Linked DNA regions of Mus musculus. The main gene of each other region encodes a partner of the protein of the gene in region 2 in a complex. Links are inferred from orthologs where the notes say so. Each region holds a gene or a part of one and is shown on either strand. Other genes may lie near its edges.

The links.
Region 1: Tubgcp2 (region 2) and Nme7 share a complex: the UniProt entries of both Homo sapiens proteins name them as parts of the gamma-tubulin ring complex. The link is inferred for Mus musculus from reciprocal best matches to the Homo sapiens genes TUBGCP2 and NME7.

The regions. Positions count from the first base shown.
Region 1 is NC_000067.6:164,331,418-164,335,239, reverse strand, and holds part of Nme7 (nucleoside diphosphate kinase 7), read right to left. Parts: intron 2,629-3,822; coding exon 2,462-2,628; intron 1-2,461. UniProt on the Homo sapiens protein: Possesses an intrinsic kinase activity. Displays 3'-5' exonuclease activity with a preference for single-stranded DNA. Does not seem to have nucleoside diphosphate kinase activity.
Region 2 is NC_000073.6:140,026,425-140,030,246, reverse strand, and holds part of Tubgcp2 (gamma-tubulin complex component 2), read left to right. Parts: intron 1-260; coding exon 261-420; intron 421-3,822. UniProt on the Homo sapiens protein: Component of the gamma-tubulin ring complex (gTuRC) which mediates microtubule nucleation.

The DNA.
Region 1 (3,822 bases), on a different chromosome or scaffold from region 2:
TGCAACTCATAAATGTGGACAATGAAAAGTAAAATGCCATTTCATAGCAAGGGAAATCATTTTTCAGAAGAGAATCATTATTAAGTCCATTTTTGGTTTTGGTTTTTGGTTTTTCTTTAAAGCTTGCTTTTTAGCTGCATCTCCAATTGGTTCTGTTTCTTTCTAAACCAAAACTAAAGAAAATCAGGGTGGCAAGCAGTAAGGAAAGAATAATAAAAAGGTACATGTGGGGGTATCTGCATGTGTGCGAGAGAGTGTGCAGTGTGTGTGTGTGTGTGTGTGTGTGTGTGTGTGTGTGTGTGTGTGTGGTGCAGCTACTGGGAGGTCTTTAGGTCACAGCTTAGAAGGGCTGTTAGGACTGCAGACCCTTTTGTGCCCTGAGGTAAACAGCTTCCTCTACCACTCAATATCCTTCATAATGTGTTCTACTGCAGGGACCCAAAGCATTGAGCCAAAAAAGTCACGGAATGAAGGCTGCAAAACTCGGAGGTGAAATTAACCTTGCTCTTGCAATGCGTAAAGAGATTTGCTCAGGGATGCAGAAGACACGGAAATGAGTAAGACAGCAAGAGAAGAATCGTCCCCAGGTCCTATCCAGTCCCGAATTTCTGGGTTTTGGTATTTAAATTTATCTTAGTGGTTGCGCAGAGCAATGAGCTTCAGTGTTCCATTTTCATAATGTACCTCCTTGACCTTCACTCACAGACCGAGCTTACCCAGTCCCTTCCTCTGTCCCCTTTCAGATGAGGCTTCTGTCCCACCCTGCCCCAGGTCCTCCTGCAGGGATCTGCCCCAGTGGAGCAGTGCACTGCCCACTCCGTCCCACTGGGTTGTCCTTTTTGTTTGCCCACACATTATAGTTGACATAATTGTCTTTTAAAAATTTATTTTTAGCTAATATATAAAATAATGTGATTCATGGTGATATTTTTGTTATAGTCTGCTATTTTTCACACCCCACCGCCCTCCCTAATCCTGACTCACTTCTTGTTAGTCCCTTTCCCTTCACCCAGTAATCTGTTAGCTTTTATGACGTGTATATTTTATTACAATTTCTCACTCCCCAACTCCCCACTCTCTTTAAACTTCTTCCCTCCATGGTCCCCTTTCTATACTCTATCTATCTATCTATCTATCTATCTATCCATCCATCCATCAATCCACCCACCCACCTATCCATCTATCTATATTCCACATATTTAAAAAAAAAACCCACTTGATATCTTTCAGTAATCTGGCTTCTTTCACTTAATGTAATGATCTCCAGGTCTGTCCACTTCCTTGCAGATGTTAGAATTTCACTCTCTATAGCTGAATAAAATTCCCTGGAGCAAGCTACTTCTTGCTTTGTGATTTCTGATGTTCTGATCGCTCTCTCCTTGGGGCAGGGTCTATTCTCTGTTACCTTGCCTATCTCTTCTGTTAAATTGCCCTGAGGCAGCTTCTCATCATCATCTCACCCAAAGTTTCTAGAACTTCCATTCTTAACTTGAACTGTCTTTGATCTTTGTTATTTGGTTTTTTTGTTTTTTTGTTTTTTTGTCTTTTTTGTTTTTTTTGTTTTTTTGTTTTTTTTTTTTGAGACAGGGTCACATGTAACCCAAGCTGGCCCTTGACTCCCTCTGTAAACTAATATGATCTTGAACTTCTGATCTTTCTACCTCCACTTCCCACATGCTGGCATGACAGAAACGTGCCACCACCTCCAGTTTTACACGGGGCTAGGTCTCAGGCCTTTGGGCTTCATCTTTGCTAGACAAGCACTGCCCCAACTGAGCTGCTTCCTGGCATGCACTGCTGCATTTCTATTAATCACGTACACTCCTTACTTCTTCTGCATATCTACTGTTACCATAATAATTCAGATCATTGTTGTAGTAATTAAACTTTTATAAGTTTTAGCCCCCAACTTACACAAGCAGGATAGCAAATAGTTGTTCTAACTTAAGACAGGATTTCCCACCTTTGGATCTTTCTCTATACTCACTCCTTTGATTAGCATTTCTCCCCAGTTCATCTAATTGGGGTAATAATTTAATTCAGTTTTATCAAGACAGAACAAACCCACAAAGCCTTCAGTTTTGCAAGAACTAACTTCACCGTCTCCCGGGTTACCGTGATTCGTACCAGCATCATGCTTATGCTTAGGAAGAAAACCTTATGCTCAAATAGTCTTAGGTTTTAGTGACAAATATAAAAAGCAGATAGAATGTGTAAGAGCTTTATCTCTGCCACCCACCCATCCAAACAGTCACCTCCTAAGACTACAGATATTGCTTCAATATTCTAATTAGGAACCAATCCCTGAATCAGTACCAAAATATTTTTAATGTTATAAAATTATATTAGGTCGCTGGAAAAACTATGTTGTGAAAACATGACCGAGGAGAGGAAATCAGAAGTTAGTGGCCAAAGTCACAGGCAAGGTTTCAATGGAAAAAGATGGCCCGGCTGTTCTTACTTCTCTTTCCTGCTGCCCAGCTGGCGGGCTGTGTATTGGTCCCCATAGTCAATCAACACCAGCTGTCGAGAAAACACATTGACTTTGTTGCCTATAAATAGATCTTCCAGGCGCAGGTCCTCATACTTGGTCCGCTTTAAGAAGGTGCGACGATTCTTTACATCATGCTAGAAACAGACACAGTAAGAATACTTATGAAGAACGTACGCCTTACAGAGAAAAGTCTCCAATTGATTTTACAAAAGACAGCTATATCCTATTACTTTATAACTACGTATATAAATTATATTTTATACTGTGAAGCTTTATTTCCAATCCAATCTAGTGATAAAAGTTTGTAATTAAAATATATATTTTAGAATATCCTAAATAGACCAAGTTATTTCAGTAACTCACCAGCTATGAGTGACAGAGACAGATTCTCATATTTCTTTTTATGTACACATCCCAATCACTAAAAAAAATTGTATTTCCTTTAAGAGATGTGTATTCATGTGTGTCTCCCTTTCTGTGGGTAGGTACATGTGAGTGAAGGTGCAGAAGTCACTGTTGGCTTGCCAGCAGCTGGAGTTACAGTTGCTGTGAGCGGCTCGGTGTAGGTGCCGGGAACCAAACTTGGGACCTACAAGGGCAGCTAGCACCCTTAACTGAGCCTTCTCTCTAGGCTCCAACCCCAACTGAGCTGACTTTTTAAAGTGATTGCCAATGAAGTGATGCAAAGAAAGGGACCCTCTTAGAGCCTCTTTAATTTGACATTTTATACAGATACCAACTTTTAACCGTAATATTTATGACTATGATAACCATTTATCTGTAACTACTTATCAAATATTGATTAATCCCAAAAAACAGTTGTCCTACTTCATTTTGGGGTCTCTCTATATATCTACTTCTATATATGTGTGTTATATGCAAGTGTGCATCCCTACAAACATACATGATATAGGAGGTTGCCTGATGTCTTCTTCAGTCATTTCTCACATTATTGTCTTAACACAGGCTCTCTCACTGAACCTGAAGTTTGCTTTAAGTTGGGTCAGCTGGCCAGAGAGCTCCAGGGAGCTCCTGCCTCTGTTACTCAGGATTGGAGTTCTCACAGGGAACAAGGCCCAGCCATTATGTAGGTAGGTGCTTAAGAGTCAAGCTCAGGCCTTCACACTTTTGCAGCCAGTATTATTTCCAGCTAAGAGATCTCTCTAGGCCTGTTTGTTTGATTGGAGACAAGGTTTTGCTATACAGTTCAGGCTAGCCTGTAACTTTGGAATTCCCCTGCCTCAGCCTTTTAAGTGCTGAAATTATAGTCCAATGTCACCAAGCGTAAGCTGTTCTTATATTTTTAATGTAAAATCTTGCAAAAATAC
Region 2 (3,822 bases):
ATAGCTGGTGCCCTGACACTGTGGGTTGTTCCTTATTGAACAGAGACCTTGAGAGGGCCTGGCTCTCTTGTTCTTAGGCCCAGATGTTGTAATGGGTAGTTAGCACCATGTCTCCTTTTTAAGTAAGATCGAATGTCCTATGTACTAAAATGATGGACTTTTTTTTTTTAATCCCAAAGACGTGTTAATTTCCATAGATATCTTGGTTTTATTTGCACTATAGTATATTTTGTTTTTGTTTTTTAAAATGTCCTTACTAGTCTCTGGAACTTACAAGAAAGATGCTTCGAGACAAACAGAACAAAAAAAATTCAGGCCAGCCCCTCCCTGTCTTCCCAGCATGGGTGTATGAGAGACCAACATTGGCTGGAGATTTCCTGATTGGCTCGGGCTTGAGCTCAGACACAGTTTTGCCTATAGGTATGTGGTGAATTTCTTCTCTGCTTGCCTGCATGTGCCTCAGCAGGCCGTGACACACTGAAGCCCAGAGGACTTGAATGCTTGTTCTTGCATTCCTCCTGCTGGAGCCTTAGGACAGCCGGAGCTGGCCTCCTGGGCTGTGCACCAGTGTGTGACACAAGGACCAGGAGGTCACACTTTCCTGAAAAGTGACTTGTCATTACCACAGACTGCATCAGGTTTTAGTGCTATGCTCACAAAGGCCTTAAAAGTTGCATCTGTTTGACAGCATTGCTGTTTCAGGGCAGGTTCTCAGGAACCTACTACATGCAACCCCAGAGAGTCTTTTAGGACCAAATGTGAACATTTGCACTGGCATAGCTTAGATGTGGTTTCCTGCCTGTTTGATGGTAGCCTCAGTTTAAGAGAATTGTGAAGTGGTGTGCCTTGCCCCAGCTCCTGAGCTCTGTACGGTGTTAGTGCAGAGGTCTACTGTCACCTTTAGAAATAACTTATAGGGCTATTAGACAAATTGAGGGTGTTCTCCTGTCCCCAAATATTATAGGGCTGTTAGACAAATTGTTTTCTCCTGTCACCAAGCAGACATGATTCTGCTGCAAGTTCATGGGAAGGTAGAGGCAGCTGTCTTTATGTCGTAGACTTGTTGTTTGCAGTGTTGGCAGGTACCTAGTTGTCACCTATCCTGTCACCTGGTAATTGTCTCCTTCCCTGTCTGTTCTCCTGTGGCCAGCATAATCAATCATCATCATTGGCAGAGCCTCAGCCTCAGCATAACCATCATCATTGGCAGAGCCTCAGCCTTAGACCTTACTTTCCTGCACCCTGTGGATGTAGCTGGTGCTCTGCATAGTGTGTGTCCCTCAGGACTCTTTCCCCGTGGATTTCCCCGTCCTTAGCTTCCCTCAGCATCACGAGCCATCATTTCTCCAGTTGTTCCAACTCTTCCCTTCCATCCGTTCATCCCAGGGAGCTCCCTGTCTTCTCCCATTGCCTCGGCTCCCTGCGATCAGTCCCAGATCTACCTCTTCCATCTCCACTTTCAAGTGTCCAGGTAAACTTTATGTCACCTAAGGCCATTCTGCTGAGGTACCTGCCACCTCCCTAGTGGCTTACTCACACCTGTAGTTGTTGAAAATTGAAATGCATTGAGCGTGCACAAGCAACCAGTCTTCTGTTTCATTACCTTAATCCCAGTGGCCATGGCTTCATGCAGGGGCATGGATCTTGACAACCTCATCTTTCCTCTCTTCCTGTAGTTTCCATACTTCCTGTAGACATAGCTAGAGCCCTCTTTCAGTACAGGACCTGAGTCTCAGGTAAGGCTGTCCAGTGACAGCCCTACTGTGCCCCTCATCCCCAACAAAACCCTGACAGTTTGCCCAGGCTGGCCTCTTCTACCCTTGAGCTCCATTTTCCACTCAGGCCCTGCATACCAGACAGAGAAGCCAGGTCTGCTACCTCAGGCATTTGCACCCTGTATTCCCCAGCCCCTTCAGAGCTCAACTAAAGATCTGGTGATAGTCACCCCTTCCTTGTCCTCCCTTGTCACACTTAATACACTGTAAGATGCTGGTTCAATTTTGTTTGGTATTTTTCCCTATACAGGCATGCTGATAAGAGGACAGGGCTAGCATCTGCTATGCACATGTGTTGTTTAGAAGCCAGAGAGTGACCCGTCCAGCAGGTCCAGTTATTCGAGGGTCTCAAGGGGACCTTCTCCTAATAACCAAATGGGGGGGTAGAGAGAGACGAGGGTCTTGTGCAAATAACGACACGGAAACCGTTCTGGATTGCATCAAGACCCCAATGTATTGTGAAAGGCCCAAGGCTTAAATGCACAAGCAAAAGGGGAAGTACAGATACTTATCAGCAGGAGGGGTGGGGCAATACAAGCAAAAGGAGAAGTACTTATCAGTGGGAGGGGGGCAATAGAAATTCTTTCTTTTGGCAGCTACAAGGGGAAGCAGGAACTTGGTGGTATCAGGGTGTGGTCAGGACATCGGTGATGACTTAGAGCTGGAACATCCTGTGGTTATTCTCGGAATCAATGCGTCGGTGGCCCACTTTTGACCCCCTTTTCTTCTCGGGGGGTGTAGTGGCTATTCCTGGTTGTCAACTTGACTATATTTGGAATGAACTACAATCCAGAATTGGAAGGCTCACCAGTGACCCTTATCTGGAGGCTTGGAGATCCTTATCTGGATCTTGGTTTGGAGATCTTGAGCCATCGTGGCTATGGATTCCAGAAGATTGAATCTCAGAGTTTAAGGAACACGCCTTTAATCTGGGCTACACCTTTCATCTGGGATTAAAGGTGTGGTGGAACACACCTTTAATCTGGGCTACACCTTCTGCTGGAGACAATATAAGGACATTGGAAGAAGGGAGTCTAGCTCTTGCTCTTGCTCCTTCGCCTGCTTGCTGCGTGAGACTGAGTAACTGCTAGATCCTTGGACTTCCATTCACAGCTGCGACTGAACCATTGTTGGAAATTGGGCTGCCGACTGTAAGTCATCAATAAATTCCTTTACTATCTAGAGACTGTCCATAAGTTCTGTGACTCTAGAGAACCCTGACTAATACAGAAGTTGGTACCAGGAGTGGTTCTAGAGTAACAGAAGTACAAGGATGAATCTTTTAAAATACTGGAATTGGCTTGTTGATCCACCAGCACTTTCAACTATTGAAACCTCTCCAGATTCTCTCCCTACTGGGAGCTCAGAGAATTTTGAAGACCCATGGTTGAAACTATATTCCGAACTTAAAGAAGCTAATGACCTTGATTTTCTTAACGAATTAGGTGATTCAGTGCACAAAGCTTTCTACAAGATGGGGAAAAAATCGGAAAATGATTTTACTGGCTGGCTGCTCTTAGTATCTGTGGAAAAAATGATGAATGAAAGGAAGGAGTTGTGTGATAAAATCGAAAGGCTCCAGACACAAGTAAACGATCTAAAAGTTGCTAAGTGTGTCCTTGAGGAGAATCTTCTCTCTTGTAGCAATAGAGCTCAAGTTGCAGAAAATCAAACAGAAACTCTCATTGTAAGGTTGGCTGAACTACAGCGAAAATTCAAGTCTCAGCCTCAGAGTGTGTCGACAGTTAAAGTAAGGGCTCTAATTGGCAAAGAATGGGATCCTACAACATGGGACGGGGATGTGTGGGAAGACCATGTTGAAGCTGAGAATTTTGAATCTTCAGATTCTCAAGGGTTTGCCCCACCTGAGGAAGTAGTACCCTCAGCCCCACCCCTTGAAATAATGCCTTCCCCACATGAGGAAATTAATTTTGCAGAGTCTGATAAACCAGCAATGACTTTCACTACTGATGTTTCTCAAGGCCCACCAATAGTTTCTTCTAGACCTGTAACCAGACTCAAAGCAAAACAGGCTCCTAGAGGGGAG